4 linked regions of the Coturnix japonica genome follow. The protein of the gene in region 3 interacts with the protein of the main gene of each other region in a pairwise test. Links are inferred from orthologs where the notes say so. Each region holds a gene or a part of one and is shown on either strand. Other genes may lie near its edges.

The links.
Region 1: the proteins of AGTRAP (region 3) and MRM1 interact in binary tests that used the Homo sapiens proteins (3 or more experiments, as listed by UniProt). The two-hybrid records come from large-scale screens. The link is inferred for Coturnix japonica from reciprocal best matches to the Homo sapiens genes AGTRAP and MRM1.
Region 2: the proteins of AGTRAP (region 3) and MCEE interact in binary tests that used the Homo sapiens proteins (3 or more experiments, as listed by UniProt). The two-hybrid records come from large-scale screens. The link is inferred for Coturnix japonica from reciprocal best matches to the Homo sapiens genes AGTRAP and MCEE.
Region 4: the proteins of AGTRAP (region 3) and NDRG4 interact in binary tests that used the Homo sapiens proteins (3 or more experiments, as listed by UniProt). The two-hybrid records come from large-scale screens. The link is inferred for Coturnix japonica from reciprocal best matches to the Homo sapiens genes AGTRAP and NDRG4.

Annotation. Positions count from the first base shown.
Region 1 is NC_029534.1:6,933,128-6,937,374, reverse strand, and holds the start of MRM1 (rRNA methyltransferase 1, mitochondrial), read right to left. Parts: upstream 2,846-4,247; 5' UTR 2,728-2,845; coding exon 2,138-2,727; intron 1,739-2,137; coding exon 1,645-1,738; intron 416-1,644; coding exon 295-415; intron 1-294. UniProt on the Homo sapiens protein: S-adenosyl-L-methionine-dependent 2'-O-ribose methyltransferase that catalyzes the formation of 2'-O-methylguanosine at position 1145 (Gm1145) in the 16S mitochondrial large subunit ribosomal RNA (mtLSU rRNA), a universally conserved modification in the peptidyl transferase domain of the mtLSU rRNA.
Region 2 is NC_029525.1:4,852,070-4,856,129, reverse strand, and holds the start of MCEE (methylmalonyl-CoA epimerase, mitochondrial), read right to left. Parts: upstream 2,846-4,060; 5' UTR 2,730-2,845; coding exon 2,699-2,729; intron 1-2,698. Other genes in the region: MPHOSPH10 (U3 small nucleolar ribonucleoprotein protein MPP10), read left to right, coding at 3,628-4,060. UniProt on the Homo sapiens protein: Methylmalonyl-CoA epimerase involved in propionyl-CoA metabolism.
Region 3 is NC_029536.1:4,903,943-4,908,265, forward strand, and holds the start of AGTRAP (type-1 angiotensin II receptor-associated protein), read right to left. Parts: upstream 2,839-4,323; 5' UTR 1,747-2,838; coding exon 1,636-1,746; intron 1,362-1,635; exon of another isoform or gene 1,162-1,361; intron 1-1,161. UniProt on the Homo sapiens protein: Appears to be a negative regulator of type-1 angiotensin II receptor-mediated signaling by regulating receptor internalization as well as mechanism of receptor desensitization such as phosphorylation.
Region 4 is NC_029526.1:2,081,622-2,085,979, forward strand, and holds the start of NDRG4 (protein NDRG4), read left to right. Parts: upstream 1-1,513; 5' UTR 1,514-1,604; coding exon 1,605-1,641; intron 1,642-4,358. UniProt on the Homo sapiens protein: Contributes to the maintenance of intracerebral BDNF levels within the normal range, which is necessary for the preservation of spatial learning and the resistance to neuronal cell death caused by ischemic stress.

The DNA of each region.
Region 1 (4,247 bases), on a different chromosome or scaffold from region 3:
GGAGGAGAAGAAGGCGGCCCTGGAGTTATCGCAGTTCAGTTGCTCAGGACTGGCAAAGTGGCACTCATTGCTCACACAATACACTGTGAGAAACCTCCTGGCCTTCCCCCTTCCTTTAAGACCACATCCCATTTGCAGGCAGATCATTTTAGTACTTGCTCAGCTTCTCTTTTCCAGACCAAACCATAACGGAACATAACAGATCTGCAACTAGCTTACAGGATGGAATGCCACCCTGATCATTCCCTCACATATACACTTGCCACAAGACCAAAGCTCTGTAAACTGAAATACCTATTACTAAAATAATGGGTTTATTCCACCGAAATTCCAAGCAGCTGATGACAGGAACATTTTCCACAGTTTCAGACTGGCTCACTGTTCCCACAACTTCCCAACCTTCTGCAGCTTTAGCCTGGGAACAGGAGAAGAAACAAATGTTAAGAACAATATTAACTTTTCAAGCTTAAAAAGAAAACAAGACATGTACAAAACCGTATTTATGTCCTAGATTTTCAGTTAAGCTGAGTGGCTTTTTGCCATCCCTTGAATTTTTACCACCAAAGCCCTACCAGAACCAGACACAAGCCCTGAATGAGAACAACAAAAACAAGAGGTAGTTTTCCTTCTGGTGTTTCTTCCAGCTCAGCAAGCAAACAAAAAGCAACTGAAATTACATTATTTCTGCCAACATAACAGTTCCAGGGGGGTTTTTGTTTGTTTCTGGGTTGTTTTTTTTTTTGTGTGTGTGTGCCAGAAAAGCATGAAGAAAGTTGTGTTAAACAAATCAGCTTAAGGTTAATGAATAGAGCAATGCAGTGGAAGCTTTGAAGCGCAAGCTCAACCAGCAGAAGCCCCCAGAAATGTTTTCAAATACAGCTGCACATTCTCAAACTCAGATGCCAAAAATCAGTTCATAAAAAAACAGGGCACAACACTCAGCAGCTCATGTAACCAGAGAAGCAGCCTTCCTTCCCCTGCCCTAATATTAAGTACCTCAATTATTTGTCTTAAAAGCCTATTTTAACAATAAAAGAGCTGCTGCTGCTTCGTGCCAGCTTCATTTCCTGTGAAACTGACACTTTTACATTAAGTGATATCAAATTTACACCAGACAACACATGTGGTTAGGCCAGAGAATCTGGGTCCAATAAAATGAATGGCTACAACAGCTCAAAACATTAATAATTCAAACTTTACAGCAACAAAGTGATCCTTCCAGCTGTTTCAATGTCAGTGTACTTCACATGCCTTTCATTTCTGCATTATTCAGAGCTCCAGCTACCACAGACCTACTGTACAGCCCAACACCGGATTCTGGCAGAGTGGGAAGAATCCACTCTTACTCCTGCTCATGGTCACAGCACAATCTGATGAGCTCCTCCTCAAAACGGCAGAGCTACCCTCAGAGCACAGACTGGCTGCAGCTCACACACAGCTCTGGTTTCCCAAAGCTCCCTTACACTAAAAGCTGCCCAATGCTGCCACCATGTGCCGGGCTCCAGGACAATGCCTCCATCTGTATCAGTCCTCTATTTGCACCTTCTCTGCTCAATATATGCACTATTTGAAGTTTCCCATACATTACTATTTGAAGTTTTCTATATACTGTAACACAGTGAAAAGAAACGTGCGTCATTCTACCTTCAAAAAGCTCCGGAGATCGTCTGTGCTGTAGACATCAAAGACTTCCATCGCTCCAGAACTCGCTTTGCTCACTGTTGGAGTCAAGGGGCAGCTGCAAAAGAAAGGTTTCACATAAGAACAGAAGGAGGAAAAACGAGGAGGATTTCTGCTTCTGTGTTTTCTTGCTATGCACCTACAACCCAATTTTATCTAGTCTTGCTCTCTCAATGGATGCACCTTCCTATGGGGAACCTAAGGGCTCAGAAACAAACCCAGGAGGCGGGCTGCAGCACTATGTGTGCAGACAATTAAAACATGAAACAGGCTTTAAAACCAGCACCCCAAGAGGCTCTGTGCCAGCCTGGAACGCTGTATCCCACAGCCTCGACTGCCCAGCTCTGCCCAAACCCCATTTTGAGGTCAGTCCTGAGAGCTGTGCCTTTAGACTTGAGACCACTTTAGGAAGAATTGAAACCCTGAGTGCTGCAGGAGTGAACAGCCGACCCCATACCTGTTCCTCCGGCTCGTCACCACTCTGTCCACCCCTAAGAAGTAGGCAGAGCGCAGCAGTGCCCCCAGGTTCATGGGGTCCTGGATCTGCTCCAGCACCAGCCATAGCAGCTGTCGGTTCGTGCTCTCTCCATCGCTCCCTTCGTCCTCCTCCATCCTCTTGTAGCGCAGCGGGGTGGCCTCCAAACACACCCCCTGGTGGACGCGTCCCCCGCACAGCTCGTCCAGCTCCCTCCTCCCAACGTGTAGCACGGGAACCCCTCGTGCCGCGGCCTGCAGCACCAACTCGCTGCTGACGAGGCGCTGCGGCCCAACGCTCTGCTTAAGGAACAGCCTGAACAGATCCCTCCTGGCCTGGGACAGCGCCATGGAGCACGGCGCCACGCCGAACAGGATCTCGCTGCCCCTCGTCCTTTCAATGGGCAGAACCCTCCTTCCCTGCGGCCTGCTCCTGCCCTTGGAGCCCTCCCGTGCTGTGTATAACCGTGTGGGCTGTTGGTCCCGCGTGGGGCCCACCCCAAAGCAGCAGCTGCGGGCGGAGGGCGGCAGCCTCAGGGCTCTGAGGGCGAGGGACCTGAGCGGCTGCTCCATGGCGGCCCACGAGGGGAAGAGCCCCCCGGTACCACGCGGGGATGGAGAACCGCACTCGATCCAACGCGGACACACACGTGGGCACAGAGCGACCGCGCTGCTTCCGGCCGGCCAGAGGGGCACCCAGCGTCACAGCGCCCCCTGGCGGTCGGCGGAGCGCAGCCTCATGGCCTCGTACCCCCTTAAAACCTTAATTAAAGTGCCTCATGAGACCTAGAAACAGGAGTTTTGAGGGCAAAACCCTCCTCGATGCTCTACCCAGACACAGTTAGCACAACGTGCTTCCCCCCCAGCATTGCGGGAAGGGGCTCCAGAGCGCACGGGATGAGCTCCATGTTGTCTCACCCCAGCTCACATCCAGCCAAAGCTTCAAACCAAAGCGCCGCTCTAGTGGCAGAGCACTTCACATCCACCTTTCGCTTCCATAAATGAGATGGTGATTATTCCACGTCAGTCTCTTCCAGAAGGATTTTGCAGAGAGGTGGGTCAGTCTTCTACTCGGAAGCACCAACAGCCTTCAAAAAACATGGAACTGTTTATAGAGATGGAGATTCCTTGAGTAAAATGATCTTATCCAGCTGCCTATCAGAGCCAATTGCACCCGTGGTGGTTCCTCCCACCCAATATGAGAGCTGAGATCTGTCAGCAGTACTCACAGACTGCCACATCACATCTCCTAGAGGTACAGCAACGTTAAAGCAATTGATGGCATTTATTACATAGGAAAAAACAAGGAAAGCACATGATTAGAAAAGACAAACATGCTTTTAATTCCACAAATGCTTTCTACCTATTTACAAGGTATCCAAAACACCTGCCTCAGATCCAGCAAGGCAGCCAAGTCAGCTACTCACTACTTATTTGCAAAAAACATTTGTGTTTTAATGACAGCAAACCTGAGCCTCTGCAACTTGGACAACCTGAAAGAGGTCCGGGAAGTAAAAACGCCTCCATTTAACAACAGCAATAATCCACCCCACTTCAAACAAGTGTGGGAGATTGACAGAGTTCAATATCCAAGTCTGCACAGCAGCACTGGCTCATCCCTTGCATAGTTTTAGCCAAACCCAGCAGCCTACCTGGGGATTTCAGCAAAGCCCTGTGGAACTCAGCTTCATTTGAACAGGGAAGGGTGAGTCCAATCTCCACAGCTTATCCATGAGACAAATGGATGCTATTCTGCTCTAGAAAGCAATTGCAATATGTTTCCCCCCCGTGAGGAACCAAACTCACACGTTTCTGTTTGAACTCTTCACAAAAGATAGGTTCATCTGTGAGCAGTAAAAAGGCTGTTATGTACAAACACGAACTACTATATACAACAAAAGAACAAAATTGTGCCTCTCTTTTTATTCTTTATTTCCTAGTTTTACAATTAGAAGCCTACTGATAGATTGTACAGGTCACTCTCCTGTCTGGGGTTTCTGGACGCCTCGGGGTCACGTTGCCAATCTCATCCCAACCCAGGAAGAAGTGCTTGAGGTGCCACCAGGTGACACGAGGCAGAAAGGCTGAGCACC
Region 2 (4,060 bases), on a different chromosome or scaffold from region 3:
TCTTTTCAATCTACCTAAGAATAACAGCTGTTTCCTGTCATCGCTTTTTAAGGTCTAATTCAATTCTTGGTGAAGCAAGAGAAACTTTCAAGTCAGTATTTTCCAAAAGGCAAGGAAGATGTGAAATGACCACTTGCTATACTATTTCTGATGTTTTCTAAGCACTTTTCTTATTTCATTCCTGTTTCCAAGTATTGATATGCCATGACTGAATGGAAATACTACTAATGTAGATTTTCAGGCAGTCATGACTGGTAGGAAAAGCTACAACGTTCCCCAGTCATCTTGATATCTCCCATCTGTAACCGTTGCTATGCTTCACACAGGGCATAAGATTACACAGCTATTATGATTAAATTTGCATTTTGTCTACTTTCAAGTAAACTGACAAAAAATTAGAGAGGTAGACTGTTACTTGGCTGTTACTGAAGTGTATGGGAAATCACAGCTGGAATCACTGATTAATCAGCTGAGGCAAGTGTTGGGTCAGCTGCGGGAGCACAGGTGAGAGTAATGGAGCTGTGCTCCCAGAAGGGGTGGACTTCGACTCCACCCCCCCTGAGACCTCATTTAAGGGCTGACCACCACTGAGGCAGCATCTCTTGGAGATTGCTCCCTGGTGGAGACTGCCTTGGCTATCCAGTCCAGGCTTTGACATTGGTGAGTTTTCTTTACTAATAACCTTTGACTATTTATCACTGTCTTGGTCAACATCTTTATATAAGCCACCTTTACACTGAAGCTATAGTAAAGGAAATAGAAAGTGTTATTTCTGTTGGGTTCTACTCAAGAAACATTTGATTTCTGCAGTATTTCCAGCCATGACAATGGAGTGAAGAGGTTAAGGATACTTCTAAGATTCTTGTAAAGTCAAAATACTTATAAGCATTAGTTATGCATCAATCCACTTCCCCCTCCTAAGAACTCTACTTTTTCAGTGAGTATGTATGAATGAAGGTTTTTCTTAGAATAGTGAAGATGTGTGACTTTATTCTATCTCTAGTCATATGCATGTTTTAATTCCATAAGGATTTGATTGACTGAGAATAAACAAAAAGCATTTGTATTTTTATGGCATTACATAGATTAGTAGCCATATAGTTACTAGTTAATTGAAATTCTACTCTTTACTCATCTTCATGTTTTTGGCCTCATTTTCATGCTAAGAAGTAGCACACCCAATAATCAAAGGATGACCCTGCAGTGAAAAAGAAAGCTTTCCAGCAACTTCAGAATGAAACTCCATCACTTTCATGTTTCAGTGAATTATGCATACATAACAAAGCCGGTCCTTTGTTCAGAGAGATGTGGTTACATTCTTCAAACACAAAAGCATTCATCCAGTAACTTACACAATTACTCAGATAATTCTGAACTTTATCCAATGTTAAAAAATAAGACTTTGTTTCTTTTGAAACCAACTGAGACTGCGAGTGAAGTGTCTGTCCAACTGTGTCCCTGTCTGACAAACGTGCACATGCAAATTCACACATGCAGTTTCTTCTCCTACTATATATATCATTTACCCCACTGTTCTTTTTAAATACGTAATTTTTCAGACACTGATAACCCAATCTGAGTCTTTTTAGGCATTTTGTCCCTTATAGAAGATTCAGCACACCCTGCCCTAGTATATGATTACTGTCTTTAGTTTTGGTATTACTGTGGAATGTATGTTACCATGTTCAGCTTCATTTGAAGAATATTTTTAACGTATCTATTTGGGTGTTATTTTTTTAATTGTTAAGTGTCTGAATGCCAGCATTGTGTGCATCAAGAGTTCAAACGTGTGCAGTTGTCTTGATAGAGGCATAGAATGGCATCCTGCAAACGTTGAATATATGAATATAGGCTTGTTGCCCCGATGGGGGCAGTGTTGGTTGACTTACACGGTGAGGTAAATAGCTCCAAGCAAACTCCTGCTGAGTGCAGCAGTGCTCTCTGGAGGGGTTACAGAGCTGTGGGTCACAGTGAGAAGAGCCTTCTCAGCAGGCACTGCTCTATGGCCTGGTTTGACATTGAGGAAAACTCCCAAGTGCAGAGACTGTGCTCTGACCACGTGGAGCTGGGCATAGCGGGGCTGTGTATACTGCGTATGAGCTTTCTGGAGCGAATAGTTATATGCCTGGTAACAGGCACAGTCTGTCTGAAATCACAGGAGGTGCTGTTAGCGTCTTGGAAAGTGCCAGCCAGCAAGGCCTGGACTGTCCTTGGCACTGCTCTGTTTGTGCCAGAGCTACTTTGGGATCAGAAGGGCACCATAGCTCTGGAGGAGCACTGGACTACACCGGGTCTCATTCACTTTTCTCCTGCAGTCGGTGGCAGTAAAACTGTGCAGCGAGGGGAGTCTGCCATTACTGTTAGGGGAGGAAACACTTGAGGTTAATTACTACCGTGAATAGGAAAGAATTTTGCATTTGACCTCTAAGTTACAATTTAAAGGCAAGCTTCTCTTTGTTTCTGTCTTGGTGCCTTAAGTATTAAGCAGGTGGCTCGCCACGTAAATTTATTCTAAGACAGATAATGCCATTCGTATCGGACCTTTTTAAAGCCGATCCCGGCAGGTCCCACAGCTGGCCCGTAAAGCACCCAGAGAGGCGGCGGGCGGCAGCGCGCACCGGGCAGGCAGAGGTGCCGCTACCCGCACTGCCCCGCTCTCATCAGCCCCGCCCCGCCCGGCCCCCCGTTACCCCGTTACCGGCCGCCGCGCGCCCCAGTGAGGCCGCCATGTCGCCGCCCGACCGCTATGAGTCTGCCCAGCCTCGGGCAGGCGGGGCCGGGCCGCCTCCTGACGCTGCGCCCGGTCAGGCCGTGCGGGCGGAACGTTGTTGCGCGGAACGCTGGTGCCGGCTGCTGGAGCTGCACGGAGCTTTTGGCGAGTGCTCGGGGCGGGGCCGGGGCAGCTGCACGTGAGGGCGATGGCGGCCGTGTCCGGACTGGAGAAATGCCTCCGTGTGGCTGGAGCTGCTGCGGCGCGACCAGAGCGCTTCCTCAGGTACCGCGGGGCGTCGTGCCGGTCCGACCGGCATTATGGTGCCTTCTGGGGCCTTGTGGTGCGCAGAGCCGCGTTCTGCCGGGCCATGCCGGTGCCGATGCGACGTCCCGGACCTTTCCTCAGCTGTCGGGGTGTCTGTTTCTTCCTTGTGTGTTTTGGTACTGGAAGAAGCTGAATGGCTGCCCGAGGATAAGTGCTGAGGGATGAGGCGGCAGAGAGAGATGGTTTTGTGGCTGGGGAGCTTGGGTGTTTGGTGCTGTGCTGCCTCAGAACTTGTGGGTTGCTCACATGTGATCAGAATACAATGAGGTGCGGGTGCAGAAGGGGGGAACGTGCAGTGAAGAGACTTAACTGCAACGTCCCTGTGGCTGGGAGTGCTCGATAGCTGTACTCTGATGTGTAGAACGTTATGTGAAAGCGGTAACTGTTGAAGGATGCCGGTCTGCAGCACCAAAGGGCCTCAGCAGGGAGATGGGGCTCTGCAGAAACGTGGCTGCACGGTTAGTTCAGTAGGAGCTGTGTATGAATGAAAGTAAGTGAGTTCTGCAGAGCAGAAGTGCGTGTGTGTGGGAACAAAAACACAACACCTGCTGTGCTTTTCAACGTTCTTTTTTTTCTTTTCCTACTCCCAGTGTGCAGGATGAGCTGGCTGCTGACTTCAGAACCTTAACAAAGACTCTTTATGATTTAAATAAAGCTCTTGGAAGCAGTGTAGTTCGTGGAAGTCCTCTGAAAGAGCTGGTGATAGAGAACTTTGATGAAGAACAGATCTGGCAACAACTGGAGCTCCAGAATAATGTGATTCTTGATGTCTTCCAGAAATCTGTTGCACAGTGTACCAACGATAAAGACCTTTGCCTTATCTCTGACCAGGAAGATGACGGCTCTGATGCAGAAGCCAGCAGTGATAGTGAAGTGGAAGACATGATAGAAGCAGAAACTGAACTGGAGGATGCCTACATAAAACATAAAACTGAAGCTAAAGAAAAGAAAAGTAAACCCAGAGAAAGTGTAATAGAGAAATACAGTGATGAAGATTCTGATGTTGACTTTGATATTGAAGCA
Region 3 (4,323 bases):
AATTGTCATGACTGCAGCTCCCAGCATTTTCACTGTGAATTCCCCTTTACCCCCTTCCAACCTGCCTCGCTCCAATATTAACAGACCTGAAGTCATCTTCTAGGAACCTAAAGACCCAATCCTGCCATGCTACACCACTCTTTTCACTTCCAGGGACAACACTAGTGCCCAAATACTGTCACATTTATTGACTCAAAATGTCTACACCTGCTCTAACTTCACACAGAACTCGTGGCTTCAGGAAAGTTAATGACCCATGAAGCTGTGACGTGAGTGAAACCAGAAGGAGCGATGCAGCTGCAATGGCTTGGACTGTCCAGCCAAGATATCACAACATAGATATCTTATCATAAGGCAAAGCCCTGGTTGCACTGCAGCACCCTATCACATCTGCTGAGCATTCAGCACAGACCGCCTGAACATCAAACGCTGCTCAAACAGGTTTTTAATAATGACTATTTTTTTTAATTGCTCATGAAAGCCTACAAAATGCTCCAGCACCACCCGCTGCTTCCCCCTCCTCCCAGATTGCACCGCAGAGACCAGGCAGAAACTGCTAATCAGGAAAATACAAGATGTTCTTGGATAAGAACGGAGACATGCAAATAGCATTCACCCAAGAGACGATCACAACATCAGGGAAATTCTTAATTAGGTAGTATTTAATTGCACGTTATGCACTCACAAGACCCCTCAAGGCTCAGCAGTTAATATAATTACGCAGAGTGGGTTTTATTATATATATATATATATTAAGCTGTCTAGATCAATATTGCAGTTATTAAATTAAGAAGCTGGCTCCATCACCAGCATAACGTCAGGTAAGCAAGGGCTGGTAATCCAGGGGGCTGCTGGAAGAAAAACAAAGCATTTCCTTCCGAGCTATTAGTCTGAGTTATCTGACAGCTCTTCAGGGCACTATGGAATTGGCTGATGGTCTCGGTATGCTTTCACACAGAAAACGGAGTGTTAATGAAAAACATTATTTAAAGCTGCAGTCATTACGTGAGATAATTTGCAGGCAGCCTCCTGGTGAGACAGAAGAATTCATTCCCATCTGTTCAGGGGGATATATCCATACCTAAGAGCATACATTGCTTTTTTGAAGAGTTCTTTGGTACAGGAACTCATTCTGCCTGCCTGGAGGTATTCAGAACCCACCTGGATGCTTTCCTCTGCAGCCTCCTTTGGGGTGCTTGCTTTAGCAGGGGAGCAGCACTAGATAATCTCCAAAGTGGTTGCCAACTCTTTGAGTTGATCTACTTGATCTACTTTTCAAGTTAGCTTTGCTTTGAGCAGGAGGCTGGGCTAGGTGACATACGTAGGTCTCTTCCAATCAAAATGATGCTAGGATTCCAGAGCTAGCACATAAAAACACCCGAGAACAAAACATCTGATTTCAGGCATATTCATTGTAGGGCCTTTTCCAAGCTCAAGCAAACTTGATATTTCAAGATTCAGAATAGCTATTGCAACAATCCTAGCCATCAAACACTCACTGCAATAATAAGGTGATGCTGCTTTCCACACTTTGCTGAGCATTACTACCAGAGCTGAGCCAGTAGATGCTGCTCCATGAGTGAATTCTTCATCTACTGCAGGTCAAGGCCTGCCATATTAATGCTACAGTCCTACCTGCGGGTTAAAGAGGGACCTCAAGGCTGAGACTTTGCTACAATCTGGCACAAATGCTGCATTCACGCAGGTCTTTGGAAGTTTTCTTCTTCTGTCATTAGGTTTATCCATCTGATCACAGAGAAACTGTAACCAGTTAACGCCAATGCATAGAAGTAGTGTGTTATTCCCAATCCCTCTCTGAATGAGAACCTTGCCAACCTTTGGGTTGTGTTTCAGAGCAGTAGGCCACGACTCAGAGACAGCACAAAGATGCAGGACAATTATTAACTCACTGTGTTACAGCCCTTGAATCCCAGAACGCAGCATGGCTTAGGTTGGAGAGAACCTGAAAGATCTTTTGGATCCAATGCCCTGCCATGGGCAGGGCTGCTAATCACTAACTCAGGGCCCATCCAACATGACTCCAAGGATGGGGCATCCATAACTACTCTGGGTAACCCATTTCAGCACCACACCACCCTAACCAGTACTTTACAAAAGGTACTTCCCAATGCTGAGAACACTTTGGCCAGGTCAAAATCACTCTTACCCAGGAGGAGATTTAAGAATGCTTGCTAAAAAGCAGGGAGGAAATGCAACATTTTACTTATGTTGTCATGGTGACTCGTTCATTCATGAAGCATCTCTTTTCTTCTAGCTCCTGCAACCAAACTGCAAAGCTTTCAGCAACGCACCCAAAACCCCAACAGGGAAGCTGGGAAACAAGCAGCACATCACCCTAGAAGGCTCTGAAAGTATAACTAATGGAGGAAAAACAGGGGAAAGAGTCTAAAAGGCTTCAGTCTCACGAGCAACATGAAGAGCAAAGGGGGCCGATTTCAGCCTCTGTGTGAGGAGCTGCTTCCTCCTGAAGTTAACGGGTAACTTCCGAAGTCCTTTTATTTCCCGTTTCTCTACTAAACATCGCACAAAAGTTTACAGCCTCCCTCATTCCACGCCCTCCCCCCCTAGAAATTAAGTTAAAACACAGAACAGCAGTTTCTGTCGGTCTATACAAGCCCACAAAGCCGTCACCTTCCTGAGGTGAGTTCCCTGACCAGCACCAACTTCGCCTCCTCAGAAACCCATTAAGGATCACAGTTGGGGGATGGAGGGGGGAATTGGGAGGTAGAAGGCCGAGGGGGGGCCCACCTGGGCGACAACCCCTACTAAAAACCCCTCCACAAAAGGCAGAAACAGCCACTTCTCCCTCCACAAACACCCCCACGCCTCCACACAAGGCACCATACCAGCCTCAACGCCCACCCCCGTACTCTTTTCTCCCAGCCGACCCACCTCGCCCCACAACAGCTCAGCCCCACATAGGCTCTGCCCCATATCCCCCCCCGTACCTTGAGGCTGACGGCAGGCAGCTCCATGGCAGCGGCCCGCCCGCCCCGTGACTCCCACCGTGGGGCTGCTCCCCGGGGCCGCCCAAAGGAGGGAAGGAAGGCGGGAGCGGCCGGGACACCGCCTCCCTCAGCGCCCTGCCCCGGGGGTGGATCCCAACATGGAGGGGAACCTCGTTGGGGTTTTTGTCTCAGCTGTCAGGCTGTGAGGTGTTAGACGAGGAAGATATGGAGGATATGGAGTGTGTCCAGGGATGGGAATGGAGCTGTGTGTGGGAGCGCAGTGTTATGGGGAACAGCTGAGGGAAGGAGATGGGTCAGGCTGGGGGAGAGACCTCATTGCTCTCACAGCTCCTGAAAGGGGGTTGTGGCAAGGTGGGCTCAGCCCTTGAACTTTGTAACAGCAACAGTATGGCCTTAAGACACAGCAGGGGAGGTGCAGGTTGGGTATTAGGGACAATAAAGAAGGAGCAGCTGCCCAGGGAGCAATGGGGTCACCATCCATGGAGGTGTTCAGTGTGGAGATGTGGCACTGAGGGATGTGGGCATAGTGGGGTGGGTTGGGTTGGACTTGATCACAGAGCTCTTCCCCATCCTTAAGGAGCCTATGATTCAGAATTGGGACTCCTTCGCCTCTTGTTCTGAAGGCTTTTCCCATTTTAGAGCTGGGGAAGTTGTTAACTAAACGACCAACCCCAACCCACAGTGTACAGCTATGAATTCCTTTCCTGCCCTGTTTATAACAGCCATCTTCTTCCCACATACAGCAATAGGATAGCAGAACCAAGAAGTAAGGGTGACCCTCTCCAACCCTCCCTGCCCAGTATATGCATGACCCATTTGCAGAGCATGACATTTCACAGACAGATTATGACATTTTGCTGGGTTGGTTTCTTTATTGTAATTTACTTTTAAGACAGGGCCTCTAAGAATGAGAGAGGAGCCAGAAGTTCATTGCAGAAGCTGGATGTGGAAATGTGTGAGTCACCCTTCAGTCCCACATCCAGTTCAAGCAGTGCAGTGCAAGGTTATGTATAGGTTGTCTGCAGTAGGGGATCTGAACTCACACGTTCTCAACCAAGCCACAAACAGGCCTTGGAAAAGCCATTTGTGCCCCTGCCTCTGGGAAGGGGAGTCTCAATCTGCCCTATCCTCCACTGCAGCCCAGTTTAAGTGTAAGCACTGTCTGGATGCAGCAGTATGTGGCAGCCTTTGCTCCTTCCAGCATTTTCACTTGGTCTGACTGAGACAGGCGGTCCCATTATCATGAACGTGGTGTGAGCTGTAATTTGGATTGATGTGACTGCTGTTCAATGCAAAGCATTCATTTCCCCTTGTACAATGGAAGTGCTTTACT
Region 4 (4,358 bases), on a different chromosome or scaffold from region 3:
CAGCCCAGCCTCAGCATCATCACCTGCTTCAACATCTCTGGGCAAAGGGCCCCTTAGTTCTTTGGTGCCACCAGGAAAAGAGCAAACAGCAGAAAACAGCACAAGTCTGCACACAGCATCCCTGACCCTCCGAGAGTCCTTGTCCACGGCTGTGACCTCCCTGATGCCATCTCCGCAGCCAGACCTTGGTTTGACTGCCTTGCTGTCACATGGCTGAGATGAAAGTGCATGGAAAGCCATGTGAAAAATGCCACATTGACCTGCAAAGAGAAATGTGGAAAAATCCATGCTGTAAAACTCCTTTTAAACATGCAATTGAGGGTGCAGGCCGCACCACGTGCAATGCAGATTCCAGTGCATAGAAAGCTTATGCTCTCTCCATACACAATTAATTGTGCAATTATTGCAGCCATATGGCCACGCTCCTTTGGCAAGGTAGCATCTAAAAGGTCTTATTTGGTCAAGTTGAACTTTGTGCGGAGAGGATACATTCCTGGTGTGAAAACCATTTATTCCTGTAGGAATCCCTGGCACTCAGAGGAGGTTGACTTTACACAGAGGATCTGATCCCTTCATGTCCCTGCCCAGTTCCGGGGTGAACCATTTGCTGTGGTGTAAGAGGCAGCCCTGAAGGCAGAGAAGCTCCTGGCTGAACAGCCCCGTGATCCCCAGCATCCCATTGAGGTGAGAAGGTGAACACAGCCCAGCATGCAGAGCTATCTGCGACTCAACAGGAGAGGCTGAAGTCAGCTGGAAGCTGGTTGCCATCCAACAAGCCTGGGACAAGCTGTCAGCACAGATGTACCGGGGATGGAACAGACGTGTGCCCCAGCCCCGCTGTGGGACAAGCTGCACTTGTGATTGTGCTGTACAGGAGGAGTGCTGTGAGTGCATCCACTGCAGGCCTGGACTGGCCAGAGCAAATACAGCACTGCTGCCCTGCTGCCTTGGGAGCCCTTGGGCTCCTCCATAGACCTGAACGCTGTCATGAGAGTGACTGGGTGATCCTCAGTCCCAAACACCCACGACCCCACAGCTCCTTGTATGTGTACAGGGTCCATCTCCATCCCAGGCACAGTGTCATCTCCTGGGTGACCCCTTGGACCCCACATCTATCGCCATCCCCACTCCCTGCCCCCCAACTCTTGGCCATGCTGTGGGGACACCCGTTGCCCAGCTCCCCCTTATCGCGGTTCCTCCTGGGCCTGTTCACCATCGTGGGGACCCCCACCCTCCTCAGCCGTCACGGCCCCTTTCCTGAGGACCCCTCGGACACAGCGCTGCACCCGGAGCTCTCCATCTTCCATCGCTTCACCCCGCTCCCTTTCTTACACACCCCCCCCGTGCCCTCCGCAGCTCCACAGTTGCCCTTTCTTTCCCCCCTCCCTCGTTCTTATTATCCGTCCGGCCCCGGCCCCGCTCCCGGCCCCATCCCCGGCCCCGTCCCTCCTCTCCGGCCCCGCCGAGGGGAGGATCCGCTCCCCTGGGCCGTTCCGCCTCGCCCCTGCGCCGCCCTGCGCTCTCCGCTCCGCTCGGTTCCGCTCCTCTCCTCTCCGCTCCGCTCCGGCTCCGCTCGCTCCCCGCGCCGGGGCCGCCGGCCCGGCATGAAGGTTCTCCGGCACAAGATCGAGCTGCTCACAGGTACCCGAGCCCCGGGGGCACGGCGGGTCGCGCTGCCGCATCGTTCCATTCGCATCCCATCCGAAGGTTGGGGCTCAGCTTCGCGGTGGCTCCGTTCTTTGCTGCCGCAGCCCTCGGGCTCGGAGCGCTCGTGGCCCCGCGTGGGCTGGGGAGGTTATGAGGGCTGCGGGGTCCTTGTGCGGGGCTGCCGGAGCATCCTGCGGCTCAGCCTCGGGGCCAGCAGCCCCCCTGCCAGCTTCCCCGGTCAGCCTCGACCCGGCTGTGGGGGCTTGTCCTGCGCCGGGGGGTGGGAGGGGGCCCACGCCGTGCGCTGTGAGGTTTTCCAGCAGCCCCGTTCCTCTGGTTTCTCCCCCCCATCCCCGTCTGCCGCACGCCGCTCCATTCACCCCGAGGAGCTGTGCCGGCACCCCGGGGTGCCACGCTGGGCAGCACACGGGGGGCAGCAGGGCGGCCCCTGGGGGTCACCTGCCTTCTGGTCACCACTGTTAAACTCTTCCTGCGGCCTCACTGGGATGAGAAGTATGACAGTGAGCAGTAATGCGTTTCCTTGCCGTTTGCTGATTCTCTTTCAATAAGTGAACACTGGGCTGCAGGTTGCCAGGGAAGGCAGAGCCAACGGGGCTGCCTCCATCTGCATCTCCGCGGTGCCAGGGCCCCGCAGGGCAGAGCCGCAGTGGCCGATTGCATCTCCCTTCCTCGGCTCAGCCCTGGAAGGTGCAGGGAAAAGGCTGTTTGCAGGGGTTTGTGCTGCCGTGCTGTGAGAGCCCAGGGTGGGTGGTTCCTGGGCACGTGTCTGATCCGTTGAAAAGAGGGAAATGGAAAAGGGGTCGCTTCAATTGCTCCTGGCAGCGCACACAGAGTGTGTCCTACACAGCAGTGCCTTCAGGGGAGCAGCAGGGCACTGTGCTCCTGGCCCTCAGCTGCTGCTTGGCTGTGCAGCTGGTTGGTGCTGTGCTCTGTTTGGGATGGGTTTGGGATTAGGGAGGAAATGTGCCCCAGCTCTGCTCAGGACGGGTTGGCACCACGTGGGGAAGGCGGAGTGGGAACACCTGGGGATGGATCTGCTGGGGAGTATTGGGGTGAGCCGGAGGGGAAAGTGCTCAGTGCCAGCCCTGCTGGCACCTCCTCGGCCATCATGTCCATCCTGGGCAGCTTGGAGCTGGGCAGGACTTGGAGGGTCCCCATGCTGCCACTGGCTGGGCCCACAGCCTGGGGCTGCCCACTGGCACTGCTGGGCACCTCCAGGGAGCCACGATGTGGCTGTGATTCCTGCTGCGGGGCTGCAGCACCCCTGGGTCTCCCTGTTATGGAGATCCCCAACGCTGACCCTTAGCTCCCCTCCTGCTCCTGAGCCTATAACTGCTCCTGATGGCTGTCATTCTGCTCTGAGGATGCTGGTTGGAGTGGGGTTCTGCCATGCCTCCCATGGGCCGGTGTTCCCCCCACCACACACCAAGATCACGGGGCCGTTCCTCATCGCTCAGCCTCCCTCCCTCTGATTATCGGCTTTAATTAACGAAGGCACCGACCGTGCGCTAAGTGCTGTCCCCAGCCGCCCTGGGACTGCGGCCACGCAGCGGTCGGTGCTGTCAGTGCACGACTCTCCTGCTCTTCCAGACCTGGCTCCCGGTGAGGCCAATTTCCCCCCACTTTTTAACCTTCGCTCCCTTGAGATGGGGCACAGGGCTGGAGCTGCTGTGGGACTGGGGCTGCAGGAGCTCTGGGAGGTTTTGTGCTGCTGCTTCTGTTTCCAAACCTCTCTGGTTTGTCGGACTGCTCCCAGAGAGCTGAGCAAAGTGTGGTTGCTGCAGAGAGCAGCCAGGTGGCAGAGCCCGCTCGGTTTTACAGCTGAAAACTCGGTTGGATTAGCAGAACACAGCTCTGGAGGGAAGCTTCCCATCACTTCTGTGCTCTGGGTGGCTGGGGCAGGGCTGAGCACACCCTGTGATGTTACTGTAGTTCTGCAGCTCCAGCTGGGGCTGCCTCAGGTGAGGTGCTGAGCAGAGCACGCAGCAGGCCTGGCTGATGGAGCGGGGGCTGCTTCTGCTTGGTGCTGGCACAGACCTGTCCTCGCTGGGCTCCATGGAGGGATTGTGTGGGAAGCAGCAGGAGTATGGCTGGGGAACGGGTGGCCATGGGACCTGCTGGGACCCACCCTGAGCATACACAGGGCAGCCTGCACTGTCTCTGTCCCCATTCCCTTTGTCTTTGTCACTGTCTGAGTGTGACCAGCTACTGTGCAGCCCCTCGCTCCCCTTTGCTTCCTGAGCTGTGCTGATATCTGGGGGTACGCTGGCAATGCTGGCATTGGGGTGTACAAAGCCTCGGTGCCCTGCTCAGCAGCACACAGCCCCACACACAGCGAGCACCATCCCTGCAAGCCCTTACTCTGTAGATGAGGGGAGAGCTGTGTGGGTAAAGGCTCCGGGTTTGGCTTCCTCCCATCATTGCCATACCACCTTTGGGTGGGCTCTGCTCCCTGACGGAGCCATTCCAATGCTCAGAGCGTCCCTCTGCGTGGCTGAGAAATGTCACACCTCGGTCTGGCTCTGCAGGGAGCTCTCCTTTGCTCCCACACTGTCTGCCCATAGCCTGCACGCAGCTCAGACATTGACCCATCTCTCTGGCCAATGCTGGGAGCTGCCGTGGAAATGGGACCACTGTCGCCCCAGGCTGTGTACTCACAGGGTGACCAGCACTGACACACACTTGCTCTC